Linked DNA regions of Drosophila melanogaster. The protein of the gene in region 1 interacts with the protein of each later gene in a pairwise test. Each region holds a gene or a part of one and is shown on either strand. Other genes may lie near its edges. The genes, in order: c(2)M and wech.

Region 1 (9,440 bases):
TTGGGCAATTTAAGCAATTTTTGACATAGAAATTAATTGTCTAATATCATACTTTTGGTTTAAACAACTTGAAAGCAAATAAAATGTTTCAGATCTTAACATTTGACTATCAAAATATTTGCCAAATAATGTTAATATTTATTTTAAGTATGCATTTGGTTAGAGACTTTTTAGCTTATCCAATTGGATTAAATTCCATTTATGTTTGCACAATGCCTATGGATTATCGTTTGGAAACGAAATAGTAAACTGTTAAGCTGATACTAGGACTGTAATCCGTATTTCAAAATGTCTTACATTAACCATAGGTTTTCTCTCAAGTTAATCGACCCATTAGGGCTAGGATATGTTCAGTTCAAAAGTTTAGAATCAAACGGGCGACTAGCAGCATTCGAAATTTGCGCAACGTCAAACTGTGAGAAGCTGACAAAGCTTCATTCTCCCATCCTTTATGTTACTCACATTGACTAAAACCTAATGAAATTCCCTAAAACATTGCACCAGGTTCTCACTGATTCAGATTTTCCGCCAGATCCGTACGTTTAACCCGTCTATCAATTTCTTCGCAATCCAAAGGTGGGCAACTGATGGGCACAACAGCAGGCCACCACGTACAAGATGCCAAAAAAGAAGTTCAGCTTGGCTGTTTGCCGAGGCACCAGATGCATCGTCTGTTCGTTGCGGAAACGTTTCTCAATCTGGAACGCTTGCGGCAGGGTTACCAGCGGCAGCAGGAACCACAGAGAGTACTTCAAACCGAAGATGAAGAACAATGAGTAGGGTGCAAAGAGCAGCATGGCATACAGAACGTGCGATGCTGTACGGCCTATCAAAATGGCGAGCGTTACGATTCCAGCCCGGCGATCGTTGTCCGCATCCCTTGTGTTGTTGCTGTGCAGGATGGCCTCCGTGTTGAGAGCCAAAGGAATCGCATAGCCCATTGTCGTCCAGTCCAAATGACCTGTTTGCGACATGAAGGCGAATAGCACCGAGATGGGTCCAAAGAGTATCAGTATAACCAGATCTCCCAGGGCGATGTACTTGAAACCAATGCCTCCGGTGTACAGGAAGCTCGAGGACAATCCCCCGAAGTAGATCAGTGCCAGGTGCTCCATTTTCGCCGGACTGAGCACAGCCAGCAAAACAAATCCTCCACAGCCAGCCATGTACAGAATGGCACCCAGCGATACCACCTGCAAATTAACAAATATTTATTATTTATAATTGCGGATAAGGATTAAATCTGCTGTCATGCTGTCATAATTAATTTATGCATATTCCAATTAAATTCCATTATAAAACGGAAAAAATTGTCCTATAGAAATTCGATAAAATTATAAATTTAAAAGTATTATTGTTTGAATACTCTCTAATATATTTGCCCTTGATTTGAATTAGTACCTTGCTAATTGCTACCAATTCTTGATATTGTTTTCGCTTCCAAAATGGTTTATGATTTCGGCACGTTTTTTTCTGAACGTATATAAAACTAATTTAATTTCTGTTCATCTGAAATGTACACACATACACTGAATGCATTTTCAAATATTTTAGGTGTTTAAAATTGTTTTTGTTAATTTAAAAAGAAAATTTGAGAATCTTTGCTTCGCCACTGACAAATTTGAATTTAAATATCACGTTTTGCCATTAAAGATTTAGAAGTGCTCGCGAGTTTCTTTGCATATAATTTGATTTTTCGGAATACTGTATTTGCAAATGTGGAATTTTGGTGAACACGTCAGAAAAATCGAAAAATGTTTGAATTTTACTTTTTTGAAGTTTTACTTTCCGAAGGATAAGAGTAGGCTCTATGCTCTATGGACGGATCTGCACTCTATTGGCTTGATTGATCCATCCGTTCGATTGCTCACCTCATCCTTGGTGAGTATGTGATCCACCAGCGTGCGGTCGTCGGCTTTCTGCTTGTCAATGCCCTTGATGAAGTCGAAATAGGTGTTAACTACGTTGCCGGCGCAGTGGACGGTGACCACGGTGAAGGCGGTGAGAAAGAAGGTGGCCAGCGAAAACTCCTCCGCCCACTGGGAGCGGTAGGCCAGGGCTGAGCCGAGCAGCGTTGGAACCAGACTGGCGGACAGCGACCAGGGACGCAGAGCTAGGAGATAGGTTTTCAGTTTCATAAACGTTCCGGATGTGGATGGGTGTCCTGTTAGTCGTCCCGTTAGTGCTACTCCGGCATCTGCACCTGCTGCACGAGCTCCAACAACGGCTTCCACCTCCTCACCGTCCTCTGTCTTGGTCTTGCCATTCCTGGACAAGTTGCCATTGGGCAACAGCTGGCTGCTTGTGGCCATGGCAAGCGGCACTGGTTAACTGGCACTTTGCGGTGGAGTGAAACGAGACTAGCCGCCAGGTATTCGTATTCGTCGGATTGTTTGACCTTGGTCACCTCCTCTCCAGAATTTGTTTACAATAGTTAAAGTATTCAATTTGTGCCTTTTTGGATGCCGGCACATGCGCTGCCTGGTCTCGATAATCGCTAATATTGTATACACAGCATCTTGAAAGTGGGGAATATATGCGGGGATATGTATATTATCAGCGGGGGGTGGAGAGCTCAGGTGGTCGGGGTCCCGAAACCACGAAATTTCACCCGTGCAGCTCCCAGTTTCTCACGCTCTCTCTCTCTCGCTGCCCCTCTCTCTCTCTCTCTTTTCCTCGACCGGTGCGAGGATCGTTCTTCTTATATGCCTCTCCTTTTCCGGCTGCGTCTTTGCTTCCGGCTATCGATTCCGGGTTAGTGGCGCAAATCGATTTGGCTGCGATTTTACTCTTAGTTATTTTAATCAAACAAATCAACTGTCACGTCACGTCAGCGCAAAAACGAAAAAAGGTTACACTTTTTCGTTGAAGGTGGCAACGCCGTATCGCATGTGCAGCCCTGCCTATTCCTACAGTTTTTACCCAAATTTCATAAATGAAAATAATTCAGATAATATGCAATAAATATTTAGCGGTACATGTATGTGCATTTTTTATATAATTCGTAAAACAAAGGTGGGTTTTAAATATTTATGTAATCATTGTTATCAACACTTATCAACGTAATTAGTAGTTGAAGTAGCTCACCAAAATATTACTATATCTTTTGCATATTTGCGGAAATGAATCCACATTGAGTATGAAATTCATTTTAAACACGCGAAACAAATTTAATCATATATGATAGATTTGTTTCACAAGCTAGAGTTACGACTGTACCGTTGCAGCCCTGGTCCCAATCAGCTGATAGGAGTTTAGAGCAAAATTTTCAATAATTTTTTTGTTGATTTCTATAAAATTGAAATAAAACATGGACTATAATATCCACAAAATATGCAGAGTTTGCCTGGAGGAACTACATCCTGTAACTTCGATATATAGTACAGACTTTGCTATGATGCCCTCCGTAATGTTGATGCAATGCGCTAAAATAAGAGTGGGTTCTAAAAACAAAATATTTCAATGTTAATTGGCATATGGAAATTGTTTTAGGTTTTTAAAACCGATGGCCTACCTTCGGTGATCTGCAACAACTGTATTTACCGGCTGGGGGTGGCCTTCCACTTCAAGCAGGAATGCGAAAACAGTGATCTCCGACTGCGACAATATCTGGGCATTCTGGAATCCTGGCGCCAGGATGCGGCCACCAATACGGACTTTGTGGAGAAGCCGTTGCTTCCGCAGCGCGATAGCGATGAAGAGGAACCCGTGGATGCCAAAGTGAGCAAGAGGCGGTCGCGCTATCAAAGAAAGCCGCCAGAAGAGCACAAAAAACGGGGGCCCAAACCTGTGCCAAAGATGCCCCACACCTGCTACGAGTGCCACAAAAGCTTCAAATGCATTGCCCAATTAACACAGCATATAAGAACACATACTGGCGAGAAACCCTACCAATGCAGCTTTTGTATCCAGAGATTCGCCCAAAAGTACAATCTTAAAGTCCACGAAAGAACGCACACGGGCGACAAGCCTTTTCAGTGTGAGATCTGCTCAAAGCAGTTTTCCGCGTTAGGCAATTTCCAGGCGCACCAGAAGATTCATTTAGGAGTGCGGGATCAGGTATGCTCGCTATGTCAGAAAGGTTTCTACACCGCCGGTGATCTCTCCAAGCACATGATAACCCATACGGGCATCAAAAACCATCACTGCGATGTCTGCGGCAAGGCTTTCAGCAGGCGAAGAGATATGCGGACTCATAAATTGAAGCTTCATCCTCTGGAGTCCAGTACAAACCATGATATAGTGGATGATGATGATGATGAGGCTATAGACACGGATCCCGTGGGTCTGGACACCCTCGATCACGCCCACTTCAAGTGTCCGGATTGCGACAAGGCATTTGATACGGCGGACAGCCTAAGTCTACATTTTCGCACGCATGCGGCGAATAATAATCTACTGAATTTGCCGTTGCCTCCTGCACCACCTATGTCGCATCACTACCATCACGATGCACTGCATCATCTCGGCCCACCGAATCCCGCCACACAAATGGGAATGGCTGCAATGGCTCACATGTTGGCACCGCCGCCGCCTCCACCGCCAACGCCAAGTGAAGGACGTTACACTATGCTGCACCACACGGCGGCACAAAGACTACATTATTAGAGTATAGCTACGAAGATTTATCTTAATCATAATTATTGTTTTAGATTATGTTTTGATATTGAACACTTTTATTTAGTTTGTCTATATAAAATGGAATATTTTGTCATGTTTGCTTTTATATCTTTACAATAAATACATGTAGAAATTTGGCAAGCACAGCTTCTATTAAGATTATTACTTAAATGCAAGAACTAAAATCACTAAAAACTCCCCGCGCGTACTTGTCGCATACTTGTCGTCGATATAAAAATGTCATTGTTGTATAAACTAAGCTTGATTTGTGTTTTCTGTAGGTAAAAATTGTAGTATCTCAATATTGGTTTGTTTGGTATTGGTATGCATCGTTGGTATCGGCTTAATCCAGTTTGAATATGTATATAAAAAGCTCAAAAATCAATCAGAGAACTATCATAAAATATTGCTTTTGACAACGGCCCGGATTGATTGATCCCAGAGATCGAAACCTCTCTACTTGAGCTTGGCTTTCAGCCACTCCTCGGTGAGTTCGTCTAGTTCGCGTATCTCGTAGACGCGTGTGAGATCTACTTCGCGCTGAAGAGCGCTCTTCGTGCAGGCGTACATCATCTGCAATTCGATCTGAAACAGAGAGTTATGAATTATAGAATATATTTGAGCATTGCTAAACTCCCACCTGGCTATCCCTGGGTGTGTAGAATATGAAGCACATTGGGTACGAAATGCGCTGATCGTCATGGACCATTTTATACGTATAGATGACATATCGGGGCTGGTGTCCTGGCAATGTATCCTGCAGCTCGTCCACCGAAATATCGTCGATGAACTCGTCCAGCACCACCGTTTGCTTCTCCCGGTCGACTTTCACTGCAAGGGACAATGGAGTGGTCATAAAAACTACACACATCTGTTACCATGACAATCAAGGCTTACATATCAAAGCCGCATTATTTTTGCTCTTGCTGAATCGAAACTTCTTCAATTCCTCCAGAACTTCGTTGCTTATGTCGCATATCTGGTTATCACTCTGTATGAAATCGATATAATTGATTAATGAATTGGAATCACCAAAGTTATCTGCTAACAACAATCGTCGATTGAAAAACAAAAACAAAAACACGCCCACACTCTATTAGTCATGTTTTCATTTTGGTAATTGATTTCCGACCCTATATACACTTCCTACCATAACTTTAGCTATGAAGTTAGGGATGCGATCTGTAAAGTGTGCTGCACTACCGAATTTTTGGCAGTTAATTGTAGGAATGCAATATCACTTGTCCTTAAGGAATCGTTTAAATACTGTCGTTTATTCTGAGTTTTGTTTTGTTGTTCCTGCAGTGAGACCGTTCACTGAACGCCAAATAATATTCTGTGCTGCATCAAAAATATGTGAAGTGTTGTTAAACGACGTTTCTGATAAATTAAAAAATAATAACAATATTTGCTAAAGGTTTTTTTTTCATTAAGCTTTTTTCTTTACGGCAACATTGGTATTATTTATGGAATTTATTAAAAATAATTGAAATGTATTTTTTAGATTGAAATAGGAACGCTCTTTTTTAAAAATGTTTTGTAGATATACTTAAAACTTATCATTATTTTATAGTAGGTAAAAATCGTTCGTATACGATATTTGGATCATGTTTGTCCTCTCTAGTGGCTGATGGACTGTCAAAAAAGTACCGTTACTTTAGGGTTGTTACAGAGAGCACTAACTTATAAATAGTTAATACTATAATCTATGTGCTTAATGTCGTAGTTACAATGAGCTTGAATTTATATGAGAGCAACATCCTTAATTCCTGCTGGAAAGCGGGAGGGCGCAAACCGAGGAAATCGGCATTTGGCCAACTTAATCGAAATGAGATCGCTGATGTGGATGTAGTCGCCTGCTGGTAATTAAATATTAAATATAATGAATTTTTTTAACATTTCATTATATTCAATTGTTTTCAACATTTATCTACATTTCAGCAAGCAAATCACCGAATTAATTGAGGAAAATGCATTAAGAAAACGCCAGAAACGATCCAATGTTTTGGCCGCAAGAAACCGGCAAAATGTTATTTTCAAGGACATTTCCCGCTTGGTTTTTGGAGTTGCGGATATTTTTAGATGCCAAGTGGATCTACTTTTGGGTAAGTATTAGTCCGAATATTACGTAACATTGATATATAATCACGAATTCTTACAGGGGACACGAAGGTATTACTTGACCAATGTACACGTACCAACTTGGATTACGTTCTCACCACAACAAAATCCGTAGTGGTCAACAAATCAGAGATTCGAATCCAACGCAAAGGAAAGCGGGTGATCACCAAGAAATCTAAAGTAACAGTATCAAAACGTCCCAGACTGCAGGAATCGGATCTATTGGATGAATTCTCACATGAATACTACGAGAAGATGCTATCCGAATGCCAGATGTGGCAAACGGAGTGCACACAACAGGTGGTGGAGGACCTGAACGAGGTTAGTCGTCAATATACTGTTGGACTGCTTCCTTATATGATTTCATTTTTCGCAAAAAGTCTATTGAACAACCCCGGAGTTGCACTCAGTCAAAGTCGTATCATTCCATTACAATCACCGAAGAGATTGAACTTCCCGAAGATCATAGCTTAATTATGCCATCAAATGGTTTTGGCGAAGCCGAGGGCGCGGACTTAACCATTTTTCAAGAGCTTTACCCCAAAGATGGCACACGGAACTCACGTAAGAATTCTCAATTCAATTGAAAATGTAATAAACTATTTTTTTGTATTATAGTAAAGCGACACTCAATAGCTCAGGATCCAACTGACATCTTACCGGATAAAATGCCCAGATTGGATGATTGCGATGTTTTCCAAGCTGACAATGCTATCATGACCCAAATCTTTCCGCATAACATTGAACCAGCTGAAGTAACTCAGATAGTTTGTGAACCGTCGTTGCCATCCGTTTTAAATTCTTTTGGAGAAATAACATTTAGCCACCCGAAAAATCGGAAAAGAAAGCTAATAGTAGACAAACGAATTGAATACACCCGGGAGCAGCTGGTGAAGCATAGACAGAAATATATGGAAGAATACCTTTCAAGGAATGTGATAGTGCCAAAATCCTCGGATTTACGGAAACCCCCTAAGGAACTTCTCTGTAAACTGTATAATAAGTAGGAGCCTTATACATTTTGCTATTTAAAACTTTTTAATTTTTTGATGTAGTGTAAGTTTTTTAGCTCTTCATAACCACTCCGGACCTAAGCTCAGTAATGAAGAAAAGGAATTCGAGGCAGAAAACACATTGAGAACCATATTTGGCTGCGAGTTTACCGAGAATCTTTCTAAAGAGATATTTGTGCGACCATCGCAGGCTACAAAATGTAGGGATAAAGCGGCACATATCTATCAGCCCGAACCGCTTGAAGTGGAAGACTGTGTGCAACCTCAACTTCAGCCACGTGATGATGTAAATCAGAATTATCATAATGAAATGAATGAGCACGGCATATACCGTGAGGATAATCATGATGGTGAGTTCAGCCAATGTTTACAACATGCTATCGTAAATAAAATATAATCTCATTGCAGATACCTACAGCGTAATGATGAGTCTCTTAAGCATTTGGCGTAATAATCCGAAAATCACGGGAATCGATGCCATTGATTTTATAAAAACGTTTGATAGTCGCATCAAGGCTTCGTTAGCCTTTCTCCATTTGTTGTGTGAGTTCGAAAAAGAACAAAATGTGTGTTGGAAATAACGTATAGCTTAAATTTCAGATCTTGTTCGAGACCATTTTATAGAGATATCAAAGCGAGCTAATTCGCTGGAAATGTACCAAATTACTCTTGGCAAAGAGTCCGCTAAGCTAATAGACAATCTTATGCTGAGTGAGACTCTGTGAATATTTTTAGATAATTTTTTTCAAGATTACCAAACAACTTTGTAGTTGACAATCTTCCACATTTTTGTTGTTGTTTTGTTTTCTGTTATTGCTATTGTGTTATAACATATAAGTTGAGCCAATCTCTAACCTAGATGGCTTTAATCTACTCTTTTTCCATACAATCTTATGGTACAATTGAGCAACGATGTCCTGGATAATTCGTTTCATTTCAAGAATTGAAAAATTCTATAGATGTTACTTGTTGCTGTCTATAAAAATAGTTTTTTTTTCATTATCATATTAGTTTCGTGTACCCATTAAAAGTTGTTTGTTATCTTTGTTACTATTACGTTATCGTAGCTATAATTCATTAACATTTGGAGTAATTCTCTAAACCGTAATTGTTGTCTTTGTTACAAAATCTCAATTTCTCTGACAACACCAAAAAATAAACAAGTTACAAAAACAAAGGAATACAGAGTGTTTGGCACAATTGCTTAAATTCCGATCTGCTGGGCCAGACCCGAATAGATGTGCAGCGTGCAGAATCCAATGACGGCCGCCACCAGCGCTTTAACAGCCACCGTTAGCCAAGGTCCAATGGTCAGAATGTGGAGCATGCCCTCCAGCCAGACGCCTTTGAAGACAGTCACCGCCAGAAGTAGACTAACCAGCGGCTTTAATGCCTTGTTCAAATCGTGACGGGTGAAGAGCCAGATCAGGGTGGCCGTAGTGATGTGCTGCACCAGAAGCACGTTCGATTCCAGACACTTGAGGATGTAGATCCAACTGAACTCGGTGCCTCGGGCACCCACCCACAGCATGATACCTCGGGAAAGAATCACTTCGGCGGTGGCCCCTGCGGAAGTATACGAAAATATTTAGTTTTTACTAAATTTTTGGAAGTTGTCATACATATATGGGTTGGGGTATTAAAGGTTGAGTAGGCATTGGCTCTTGTAACATTAATATATCTGAA
Region 2 (12,884 bases), on another chromosome or scaffold:
AGAGCGAGATGCCCATCGAGGAGCTGCTGGCCAAATATGGCGGGACAGCGGCTTCGCCGGCAATGAGCAGCTCGAACCGTTCCGGCAGCAGTTCACGACGTGCACGTAGGGCCACAAAGCGCCAGTACCAGGAACTGGACACGGAGATGGCTCACACGTCGACCTCCACTTCGAGCAGCACATCGCAACTGGAGAAACACGACGGCATAGACCAGGAGGAGGAACCCAAGGAGGAGGCCGATAAGCTAGCATCACCCCCAGAATCAGGAGAAGCTTCGTCCGTGGACACGGAGGATGCGCAAAAGTATGAGGGGATCAAGAAGCAGCATCGCTCACATTTGCTGGACCTGTATCCAGATGAATCCTTCGTCGATCTGGCGCCCACATGCGGAGAGGAGACGGAAAGATGTAGGTTTAAAAATAAAACGTGACAGAATCTAATTATCACTTCCATTATGTAACACTTTTATAGTCACTCCACTGCAAACACTGTTCGATGAAGTGGAGGCCGAGGAGGAGGAGGAAAGCGAATCCGAGTTGGACGATGCTCGGAAGATAATAATGGTGGGTCACGACTATCAGGCTGAGATCCCAGAGGGGCTGTCGCAATATGGCGATATATTGCCATATGAGAACGAGGATCAGTTGATCTGGGAGCCCAGCCAAGTCAGCGAGCGCGAGGTGGAGGAATATCTGGCCAAGATACAGGAAACCCGATCGATAGTTCCGCCGGATGACGGGTCAGAGACTACGGCGGGCGAGGAAGGCGCAGCTACAGGTGCTACTATCGAACCGCCGGCTCCCATTACAGCTCCAGCCACGCCTCCGAGGGCTCCGCTTGCGACAAGTGGCGCTGGCGATCAGGAGCTGGTGGTAAAGGATAATGAGCAGGCGCTCCATCTGCTTGTCCAGTGCGGTTACGACTTCAAAGAAGCCCTACGACGCAAGCGCATGAACGTCCTGCCTCTCACTGATACCATGAGCAGCTGGTCCGAGGACGAGTGCCTAAAGTTCGAGGAGGGCATTCAGCGGTTTGGCAAGGACTTCTATCAGATACGTCAAAACCAGGTAAAGGAGCGTCCATTGCCTGCGGACCGCCCTAGCAAGTAATCTATGGGCTCGTTGGGCTCTTTCAGGTGCGCACTAGAACCATGCGCGAGCTGGTCCATTTCTACTATCTGTGGAAGAAGAGTGAGCGCCGGGATCAGAGCTTTGCTTTAAACGACACCATCGATCACATGGATGTTTTCATCAACGAGGCGGGCGGTGGCAACGGAAGTGGTAATGGAAATGGTGCCGGGATCGTATCGGGCACCGCTAACAGTAATGGTAGCTGCTCACCGCATAGCAGCAATGGTCACAGCAATGGGGATTTGTCTGCCCTGGAGAAGGATACCATCGCCAGTCCTCGAAAACCCGCCTCTAAGAGCTATTCTATTATGACCGGGAGTCAGGCGGTAGGTAATCCTTCCGGGGGGAACCGAAAGCGATGCTCATCCGCATCTCTGCCCCTGGAGGACGAGGACAACAACGTCGAGGAAGAACCCAGCCTGTCCACAGTGTAAACGACATCTCTATCACAATCACCATCATCATTATCATAACCGAGCGCAGGCGCTTTCGATTCGGTTGGGCCAGGCGATGTATTTGCAGGGCGCTTCATTACCATTACCACTCACTATAAATATGCATACTGTACGTGTAGTATATACCATATGTCTAAACATATATATTCCAGATTCTTAAATCGACATCTCTCATAACCCGTAAAGAATTTCTCTATTGTTAAGTGTGCGATTCGTCTATTTGTTACATGTGCGTGTGGATTCCGGAACCAAGTACTTATCGCTTATATATACAATATATTTTCGCTCAATCCTTGAGTTTCGTTGAATGTCAATAAATGTAATATGTATATCTGTAAAGTCAATTCTATTGTTTTGTCGATATTTGACCAAATGTTTTAAAACCTCCAATAATTTAATGAATTTCAATTCTCAATTTACGAAAGTAATGTATGATCAGAAAAGATAAATATATATGTACATCGAAAGCTTTGTAGACTCACAGGTAAGATTCGCTACAAATCAGATACTAATATTACATAAAAGTACATCTTAGATATCTTAGATGAGCATGATTTATTTTATTTGGTTCAAAACAAAGTATGCATCATATTATTAATTTATTCGGCCTAGTATTTTCCCCTTTAAAAGCCTTTGTTTACATATAGAAGAAACAATATTTAAACGAAAATTAACCAAATTTTATCAAATATGCATTAGTTTAATCGCTACTTAAAAGACAAGCTGACGGATTTCAAATAACCATCTTAACGAAAGATCAATCGTACTCCGTATTCCCTAAAAGTTAACCGGATCGGAAACAAAGAACCGGTCCGTATAAATATACATACATATCTCGTATACATAGATACTTAGGTATGTCTGTATCTTTTCCCCAGTTTTCTTTGCAAGGCGTTCTTGAAAATGGCCAATTACGGTGTTGGATTCCCATTTATTGGCCGCATGTCTGTCCACGTACATTGTGCATACGAATGTGTGTGTGTGTTTTTCGCACTGTGGGTAGAAAGACGAGTATAAATTGCGGCGAGGATCAAATGTCAGGCTGAAACCCAACCGCAAAGCTACAGAAGATCTGATAAATAACCCCGGTCGCCACTTGTCATGTCTGCTTCACTTGCATTTTCGCAGTCCCAAGAAGAGGAGACTCAACCCGAAACGTGCAAGCATACACGTATAAACATTAATATGTACGTGTGTACACATATACAGACAACGGATACAGTCTTCGGTTCCAGGCTCACGATCGTTCCAGCTGGAGCTTTTGTTCCCACACACCCTCGTCTGTATATAGAAATGTACATATGTATGTGCGCTGTGGCGGTGGCTCCACTGGCGTGGCGTGAATTTTGTACGTTCCCTCCAGCTCCATTTCCAAGCGACCCAGCCAGCCGACCGTAGTAAAATCCAGTTTTGATAAAAATAAACAAAGTACACTACACCGCTCTCTATACGCTACACTATGAATTTCCAGTCTCTGCGGCTGGGTCACCTGGAAAAGGATCTCCTTTCGCGTAACGGGAGGGTGGGCCATAGAGCTCTATGTAAAGACTTTTACCGCTAAAGCGCGTGACATGTCCGCTCAAGTCGCTGTACGGGTGGAATTCTATTGCAATAGCCGTTTTCGGTGCAGAGCATATTAGATTCGTTACGGTGGGCTCACAATGGCGAAGTTAACAACCGTAAAAAGCGCAAATACGACACAGAGTTGCGGCCAGCGCAGCGGAAGCTTAACATCCGGATAATATTGCCAGGCAGCTCAGTTGTTGTTCTGCCGCCTCGCCTGCGCCTGCTTCTTCTTCTTCTGCTTCTCCTGCTTCTTCTTCCTCTTCTTGGGTCTTCTGTTCGTGGCAAAGCCTGTTGCTCAAGCCTCTCTCCTCCTTCCCGATCCCGCAGCTCCGCCTTCGCCTTTGCCTGTGCCGTCGCAACCAGCTCCGTCCGCTCTTTCCACAATTCTCTCTCGGCACCGCCAAAAGGCACGTAAACTGGTTGTTGCTGGCTGGGCCGTACACTTCGTGGTGCCCGTATTTTTCGTATTTTCAGTGCTGCCTGAACGCTTGAGCTGCGCGAGTCGCTTGCCGGGAAACTCGGAGTTGGAATCGGAACTGGATCTGGCTAACTAGCTATCGGGCTATCGGAAATTGGCCACTCGGATCTGGACATGGAGATGGCCTACAATGCGTCATCGTCGGCGGCCTCCGTCGGCTCTGCTTCTGCCGCCGCCTCTGCCACCGCCTCCTTCGCCTTCACCAACACCGCCAAGCTGCCCATCGAAACGGTGAAGCGCCTGATTGCCGCCGTCTCACGACGTCCGATGTTGTGGCTGCGCAACAATGCCAATGGCCAGAAGCGCAGCGACATCACGCCTGTTTGGTTCGAGGTGGGTCAGGATGTGAATTTGCCAGGTGAGTGTATGGCTGACTATTTCTCCTCTGCGCTTTCCGCTAAAATGACTCCCCCCTTTCACAGCCGACATCTGCCGAATTAAGTGGGGCCACCTGAGGGACAACTTTCGCAAGGTGTACATCCGCAATAACCTGTCCAATGAGACGCCCTCGTCGTGGCGCTTCTACAACGATATGCGGTTCATGGAGCCCGCCGTTCACGAGAATATCATGCGTCAGACGCGAAGCAGCAGCAAGAAGCACCCACCCGGACACTGGACGGAGAACAATAATGTGCTGGGGCCGGACAAGTATGACTCAATGCCCATTGTTGCTACGGAGCCCATATGCGAGCTCAGCCACAGCTATGACTCGGAGCTACACCAGCCCAGCTTCTCGGACATCAGTTCGTTCTTCGAGGATCGCGACTGCCAGCCGCCGGAGAATAAGAGATTTAAGTCGGAGCCCAGTCAGAGGGAGGAGGACGAGGAGGATGACGATGACTTCGACGAAGATGCCGCCTCGGAGAACTTGGAAGAGGAACGCGGCAATCGTGCCGATGCTGCCAGTTCCGGTGTATTCACCATAGAAGTGCTCGATGACGACGACGAAATGGAGCAGGCGGTGACCAAGACCAAGGCGAATAACACTAGCCACGGCGGATCCAGCCTGAAGAGCGAGCAGGAGGCCAAGGTGTTCTCCAATTCGCAGTCACCCACCGCCGATCTGCCATTCAAGTATATCAGCACGGATGTGGCCACGAATACGGATCCCTCTGGTGGAGATCTCCAGGACGAGGCGGATCGCATGTTCCTGCTCAGTCTGATGCCCTTCCTGCAAAGATTGGACAGCCGCCGGCGTCTGCGCGTGCGCCAGAAATTACAGAACGTGCTCATCGAGGAACTGGAGTTTGGCTGAGGACGCGTATATCCGGGGGAATGTGGGGAGATTTACTTTATAAGCCTAGCTTACAGTATTATAAGAACGCGACTGACTAACTCTGTGAATCTGCCTACATACGTAGCATGTAATCAGTATTCCGGCCTGCTTTCCTTCATACCAACACACTTCAATACATACCATATTGCATTACAATACATATTTACACTTCAAATAGACGATCACGCCAGCATGATTACTTGTTTCTTCCTCAGGATAACCGCTCACTTTTACCTGTATCTGCGCTCCGGTGCACCTGCGCCTTTTACCTGCGCACCCCGCCCGCAGTTCGAGTTCCCAATTATCCACGGTCACTGTTGCAATTGCATTTTTCCAGCCACGGGCGGCTCAAAATTTCTGTCAGTGCAAAACAAGTTCTTTAAGGGTGGTGCACGCGGCAACAACAACAACCACAAGGTGATTCCCTCCGCATTTTCGCGCCACATGCGCCGTTAATGCTAATGTACCGCGCTCTCGCTCGCTCTCTCCGCTCACCAATCACAATGCGCTCCGGATGGGCGAAACTTGGTCGAGCCTAGGCAACTTGATAATTCCCTTTTGGTGTGTTGTGTTTTTTGCCTGAAAACATCTCCCCATGTTTTAAAAATGATTCAAAGCTTTCGTTGAATAATGGCGGGCTTAACAGTTCTGCGATTTGCTTAATAGGGTCCAATTGGATGGAGTTTAACTTTCAAAAACTTTCGCTAAACAGAAAGCTCATCTTCTAATGAGTAGAGTCTGAAATTTAGACGCAGAATCCATAAAAATTCTTAGTGGTTCATGCATTGTTGTTAAAATGTTGAATGCTGTTTTGTCTTTTCGGAACTCATTTGGAATTCCAAAATTTAAGGTGAAACACTATTTAATTTTAATTTAAAATTCCTTTTAATTTCAGCAGTATGATTCCCCTCTGATTTGTAATCACAAAAATGTTCATGGCCATTCATTGACCATCATTTATACTTATTATAATCATTTATACTATTTATAAAAATTGAAATATAACAGTTAGCAGAATCAGTGTGACCAGCCATTGTGAGGATCAAAAACTAAACCTCCAATTCGGCTATGCCCGCGATACCCTGAACGAACAGGGGCGCGAATGACAAAAACAACAAAAACCAGCAGCAGCAGAAGGGCAGCGTCGTAACGAGAGAGCCGGGCAGAGAAGAAGAGGAAGAGGCAACGGCAGCGGCGAGCGCATGAACGTGAGTTTTGCAGTTTGATGGTTAAATGCGTGCGTGAAGGTTGGAGTGAAGATTTTGAGCCGAATTCGAATCCTAGTCCCCGCCGCAATAAGTGGGTCAGAATTGGAGCCGTTCGATTGGGCCAAACAAAAAGCTGGGCGCCACCGCAGACTGCAGCTAAAACACGCCGCCAAAGTAATTGGAAGAAGAAGCAGGCGCACAATAGGAATAATTGTTCATGGATTTTTTCGATTTCTCGTTCGCTTGCAGAAGGAAAAGTGCACGAGGGTGGAACCAAGGGTAAATAAGATTCGCCCGAAAACGCTTGGAAAATGTAAACAATCTGTAAGCACAGCGACGATAAGCGATTTTCAAAGAGTTTGCCAGCTTTTTACATCGATCAAACACTCGCATAATAAACGAATAAGAACTGACGATTAAATCGAATTGAAGTGGAGTGACGACTATGGGATACCCTAGGACCGCGTAGAGTGAATGAATTTGACAAGTGAGTTAAAAAAGCCATGGGGCACGAATTAAGTTAGCATAATATATGTGCGTAAATCAATTCAGTGCTATTAACTAAGTTTGTTGGGGGAAATGTTAGCTGTGTAATCCGCATAAAAGGAAATCTTGTTTAGGACCCATACGCCCCTGATACCCTGGACCGAAGCGGACGCCATTATCCTATTAGCCGTTATGCCCCATCAAGCGATTCGATTGTTTGAGGTTAGTAACAGTACATCTGACCAAACTTCTGCATCGACCCTCTGTATTAAACGCAGTTCTTTGCGGCATAAGTGAAAATAAATAGAAGATAAAATGTGCATGTGAGCCTCCCGTGCATGAGTGTGCCTGTGTCCGTGCGCCCTGCGAAGGAGAAACAGAGAGCGGAAGAAATAGGAAAAGAAGAGAGCGGGCGAAACGAAAGAGAGAGCGACGGTTTTGGAGCGCGCGCGCACATCAAAATTAAAAAACAAACTGTGAGATACATTTGGGTTTATTTTTTATATTTTGTTTAGGCTACATAGGCGATGATGATGATGTTGATGAGCGGCAAAAGCAACAGAGAGAGAGATAGAGAGAGAGAGAGAGAGCGAGCGACTCGAGTGTTATGTTGTGTTTTCAGTTTCGGTTTCGGATGTATCTTCTTCAGTCGGAATAAGGAATACACGATTGTCGGAGCGAACGGATTACGCATAAGAACTCTCTGGAAAACGAATTTCGCCTCGCGAAAATCCGCTGAAAAGGCAAAGCCAAGCCAATTCAAAACGGAATCCGCACCGCATCAAATTAAAAATCGAATCAATTAGCGAAAATCGGTACTGAACGCGCGACCCAACAACAACAAAAGCCAAGCGTCTTGCATGCGGCTGCTAAAAAAGGTGTGTACGCGAAGGAGATGCACGTAGAGAGCGAAAGAGGAGGCACGAGCGTGCCACTATCAACAGAATTTGATAAATAGACTTTAGTCCAATTGCTGCCAAATGCAAATATTGATTTTCACTACTCCCAAGATTTCCCAAAAGATTCCTCTCGACGCTTTTCCGTTTTTGGAAAATATACATACACAAATATACGGACGATTTGCGGCGCAGAAACCACCTACATACGGACATGTAGAGAAACTTGTGTGAATACAACCCTCGTCCTCATCCCCCTATGTTTTTGCGTCGTATCCTCGCTGCACGAACACAAATGTAGCGCTGTAACCGTGTGTGTATGTGTGTGTCTGTGTGTTTGTGAAAGGACTTTAACTTCTTGGTCGTGTTTTTTCCACGTCCTGCGACTCGGAGACAGACCCGTTTCAATGGAAAACGTTCAAGGGTGACAAGGGTAGTTTCGCTGATGCCTCCTCCTTCTCCTCCCCCTCTTCTTTCTGCATGGAGTCCTTTTCCTGCTCTTGTTCTTCTTATCCTTGTTTTTGTTGCCGCTGTCTACACGGTTCGAAAATATCCTAGAAGTGCATTCCTTTCCTAGGGCGTTGCATTGTTTAGCCGAAAAAAAGGGTACCAAAGCTGAGTTTGTTTATTGATTTCATCAGGACTGTTCGCAATCCAATCGCAACCATTACGCACAACCGCTTTTCTTAAACTACAGATGGTATGGAAATTCACGTTGTTGTGATTTCCCTTTAAACACTTTAAGGAGTGTATTTTCTTTTTATAGAATGCTAATTCATAGATGTTAAAACATCCCTAACATCTTGTCGTTTTTTAAAATCTCCTTGTCAAAACGGTAATAACATTCAAAGTTACCTTAACTCAAGGAACGTAAAATCTTGTCCTTAAAATGGGTTTATTTAATAATATCAACATATTTGCGCATTAAGTATATACATTTTCCTGGCTTAAATTTCCAATTTGGTTTGCTTTAAAATTTTACTTAGAACTGATTAAACCGAACAAGTTCGTTAAGTTCTTGTTTATCGAAATGCAAATCCATTTAAAGGGGTGTGATCCTTTACACCAACTTTTTATTAATATATATTCTGGGCCATAGTGCATCTTAATATAAGAACTGAACTGCCAGGCAAATTGTTTTCACCACAGATCGACAAAAATCATCAATCGCTTGACTTTAATATTTTTCCTTGACGAGAGCAACGGGAGGCCTAAACTCAACCCGCAGACATTCAATAACCCTTTTCCACCTTAACCCCATTCGTAAACTGGATTTGCTACCCCTCAAGTCATACTATAAATTAACTCAAATCACCCAAAATCAGAATGAAGGAAGAAATACACGTTCCTGTCGTCAAGTTTTCCGCAGAGTGTGGAAGAAACAGCTCCGTAATCCTGACCCGGTGGAGGGATGAAAGTCGGTCGTTTTATTGGGTCTACGCTCCTCGTCTTAGAGATGGAAACCAGTTCCGTCTGTTGTTTTATGACGTAGTCGCTTTGTGTTTGCCACCCCATTCTCCCCGCCGGAAAAGTCGCTTGCGCAGTGCTGGCGAAGCGAGGTGGTGGGTGGAAAGACAGGAAAATATTGTAACTACGTGATAAGGTTGAGCGCTGAGGTGGGGCCCCGTGAGGGTGGTTTCTAATCCCAGTCCAGTTTGTTTTCCCGTGTTTTTGGGGAGAAATTTCCCGACTCTAGTATCTGGGTTACAGAAAGTATCTAAGGAGTACAGGCAGTTCGCCGAATTGCGCGCGAAAACTCGCCATTTTAGCTCGTAAATTAGGAAATGCGTGGCTAATTCCGAAATTCCGGGATTCCAAAGAACTTGACAATGGCATGAATGCAACCAAGTATCTTACAGATACAAAAGATACACACAAATCTGACCTGCTGCCGCGCGGCACACAGCTGCCTTTCTCGGGTTGCATTGCTTTTCTCGGATTCGGGACGGGCCTACTTAAAGGATCAGGGGTCGGGGATCCGGCCTTGTGGATTGGTCATAAGAAGGCAGGCAAGCGGTCGGGGAATTTTCCCGCTACCTACGATGATGCCTAGATGCAGCTGCAACTGCCTGCCTAGGACTACTTAATGAAGCACCTTTTCCTTGGCCAATTTAGTTAGGTTCTACCCTTCGGCAACTGACGACGTCCCGCGCGTTCCAAACGCAGTTTAGAAAAAAAACACAAAACATTTTTATCCACGAGCTCTTCGCGTCTTCGAGTTTTCGTCAAACGTCTCTAAAATTATTCGCAAATCTTACTAATTTTTGTAGCGGAAAAGCGCCACTCCATTGACTGCTGCCTTGTGCTATAGAAACGTGATCTCACCACTCTTATGATGGAACTTTTGTCAAACAATTCGGTTCCGCAACAAATGGCCAGCAGCAATGCGCCGAGCGCCAACAATGTGGCCCACTCCTCAACGGCCAACGGAAGTGGAGGCGGCAGTGTGAGCAGCAATGCCAGCAACTCCTCCGAGCGACTGCTGGCGGGCATCCTGGAGAGCTTTCCCGCCTGGGACCTCAACGTGGGACTACTGCCCAACGTGGGCCAGAGGTGAGATAGAAACACAATTAAAAATCTCGAGAGGCTCGACTTAAATCACTCTTCAACTTTTTTTTCTAGCTCACCACCACGCGCAGACTTCTTTATCAATAACTTCCTGGGCGGCCTGGACACGCATGGCGACTTCAGCATTGGACCCATTGGCAGCGGTGCCCGCAGCAATCCGAAGATGTCGCCAGAGTCATCTAACAACTCGAGCATCAGCTGCGGTTGGTGCGAGGTTAGTGCTTCAATACGCTGCCTGGAGTGCAACGAGTTCATGTGCAACGACTGCCTAAGGGAGCATCGCAACAGTCCGCTGTCCTCCAACCACTCGATCGTGTCCTTGCCCACGCCCATTGGAGCCTCGCCCACGGGTGGCAGCTCGGTAAATGCACAGACTCCGCCCAGCGGCAACTTTATCTGCGACATACACAACGAGATGTTGCGCTACGTATGTGACTACTGCCGGAAATTGGTGTGTCAGTGCTGCACACTGCACGAGCACAAGGAGCACAGCTACGCGTCCATCCAAAGCTTTATGGTGGGCTCGAAGGAGAAGCTGGAGGGCGCCATTGAGAGCAGCCAGGTGGGCACGCGCTGCATTAAGAGCAGCATTGACAAAGCGTTGGCCTTCATCCGGCTTATCGAGCGCAATTGCAGCGAGCTGAGCGATAATATACGCAAGGCATTCCGTCAGTTTATCATTGCCATCGAGGACCGCGAGCGTTTCCTCCTGGACTTTGTGGAAAAGCTCCGCCAGCGTCGTCTGGCCATCCTACACGATCAGATGGCAGGCTTAAAGTCTGCTCTCGCCGGACTCTCCGAAACGTCCGATATGCTTAGCAAGGTGGCGGACAATGCCTGCAACATGGACCAGATTGAAATTGCCATGAAGTTGACCAATGGGCAGAGGCAGATGGAGCAGTTTGCGGGCATATATAAGGACCTGCAGCCAAAACAGGAAGTCTTTGCCTTCGCACCACCAGATTACAGCCTGCTACAGGATATCCGCAACCAGGGTGGCGTTATCCTGGTGGACGACAAGAACTTGCCCATCGTCTCTAGCAGCAACGGAATTGTGCCGAGCGTCTCCAGTGTTAATGCCGTGGCCGCGGCCTCCGTGGGAGTTGTGGGAGGCGTTGCTGGAGTAGTCGGAGGCGTTGGCGTGTCAAACGGCCTGGACTTGGCCTTCGGCATGAACATGCCCAACAATCCGCTGAGTGTTGCTTCCTCAAGTGTGCGACGTCCCCTGTTGCGAGACAATAGCTTCCGGATTCCATCGCCCATAATGCAACCACGCGGAGGAAGTGCCTGTGGGATGTCCAGTGGGATGTCCAGCGCTGCTCTTGATTGGGAACTCAATGGACTGCGCAGCTCGCCAGGATTACACTTCAGTGCGCCGCGAACCACGCAGGCCATTCCGGGATGCATGGATCTGGTCAAGGTGCGTAACTCGAATGCTCTCTCGCTATCCTTCGCCACCGAGGGCCACGAGGACGGACAGGTGAGCCGGCCATGGGGTCTATGCGTTGATAAAATGGGCCACGTTCTCGTATCGGATCGCCGCAACAATCGCGTCCAGGTCTTCAATCCCGATGGCTCCCTAAAGTTCAAATTCGGCCGTAAAGGCGTGGGCAATGGAGAGTTCGATCTGCCTGCTGGAATCTGTGTTGACGTTGATAATCGCATTATTGTGGTCGACAAGGACAATCACCGTGTGCAAATCTTTACCGCCAGCGGCGTCTTCCTGCTCAAGTTCGGCAGCTACGGCAAGGAGTACGGCCAGTTCCAGTATCCGTGGGATGTGGCCGTGAACTCGCGCCGCCAAATTGTGGTTACCGACTCGCGCAATCATCGCATCCAGCAGTTCGACTCTGAGGGTCGCTTCATCCGCCAGATAGTGTTCGACAACCATGGGCAAACCAAAGGAATCGCCTCGCCACGAGGCGTTTGCTACACGCCGACGGGCAACATCATAGTGTCTGACTTTGACAACCACTGCCTCTACCTGATTGATCCAGACATCAACGACGTATGTATGATTGTAAATAGCTTAGTTCCATTGGTGCTTATGCGCTTTTGAACTTGTTGCAGATTCTTTCCGTGAAGGGACATGAGGGCTCGGGCTTCCATGAATTTAATCGACCCTCCGGCCTGTGCTGTGACGACGAGGGCCGCATTATAGTGGCCGATTCAAAGAATCAACGCATCCTGGTCTTCAATCAGAACCTGGACTTTATGTGGGATGTAAGTACACTTTTCAGCTTAGGATCAACCAACAGGGTATTGGAACCTCACTAACATGGTATTATTGCGTTCCCCAATTTAGATCGAGGTGCGACCCTCCATCAATCCCTTGATGCCGCCCACGCTGGACGAGAAAGATCGCACTTGCGATGTGGCCATAATGCCAGACGGTCGCATTGTGTTCCTCATTGAACTGTCGCCAGACTCCAAGGAAGGGTCAAACCCTTACAAGCGGTTTGTGCACGTATTCTAAATAAGGCCACGAGTGCCGATCTTTTTTTTTAGACCATTTACAAGAGCGAAACCTTAGCGTAGAGTTTCAAATAACATGACGATTATGAGGAGGTGCCGAAACCGATTTAATAAGAAAAAATCTGAAATCATGAAAGTTAGCGAAAATTTTTAGCTTAAGTGCTACAACGATTACCTCGATATTGCTTAAGAGTTATGGTTACGATTTGGTAATTTACAATACAATACGAATTACACATATGTATCTATGGATATCTATATCTATACGCATATGCATATATCTAGCGAATATACAAGCCCAACCAACTAGAACTATAACTAAAACAAAAACAAAAAACAAAAACT

The links.
Region 2: the proteins of c(2)M (region 1) and wech interact in a two-hybrid assay, tested with the Drosophila melanogaster proteins (one study listed by BioGRID).

What each region holds. Positions count from the first base shown.
Region 1 is NT_033779.5:16,297,001-16,306,440, forward strand, and holds c(2)M (crossover suppressor on 2 of manheim), read left to right. Parts: upstream 1-6,263; 5' UTR 6,264-6,351; coding exon 6,352-6,482; intron 6,483-6,561; coding exon 6,562-6,725; intron 6,726-6,781; coding exon 6,782-7,062; intron 7,063-7,121; coding exon 7,122-7,305; intron 7,306-7,359; coding exon 7,360-7,744; intron 7,745-7,796; coding exon 7,797-8,104; intron 8,105-8,162; coding exon 8,163-8,297; intron 8,298-8,354; coding exon 8,355-8,479; 3' UTR 8,480-8,940; downstream 8,941-9,440. Other genes in the region: heix (heixuedian), read right to left, coding at 555-1,193, 1,872-2,312; CG17328 (uncharacterized protein), read left to right, coding at 3,311-3,436, 3,493-4,608; GMF (glia maturation factor), read right to left, coding at 5,077-5,205, 5,261-5,451, 5,518-5,611, 5,771-5,773; CG5861 (uncharacterized protein), read right to left, coding at 8,959-9,320.
Region 2 is NT_033778.4:7,483,050-7,495,933, reverse strand, and holds the start of wech (wech), read left to right. Parts: upstream 1-6,110; 5' UTR 6,111-6,601; intron 6,602-7,241; exon of another isoform or gene 7,242-7,478; intron 7,479-9,605; exon of another isoform or gene 9,606-9,766; 5' UTR 9,767-9,828; coding exon 9,829-10,049; intron 10,050-10,118; coding exon 10,119-12,072; intron 12,073-12,134; coding exon 12,135-12,287; intron 12,288-12,369; coding exon 12,370-12,540; 3' UTR 12,541-12,884. Other genes in the region: CG1620 (uncharacterized protein), read left to right, coding at 1-408, 473-1,068, 1,137-1,565; Coop (corepressor of pangolin), read left to right, coding at 3,745-3,988, 4,053-4,885. UniProt on the Drosophila melanogaster protein: Vital for larval development. Plays a role in tumor formation. A crucial component for the physical link between integrins and the cytoskeleton in the epidermal muscle attachment sites.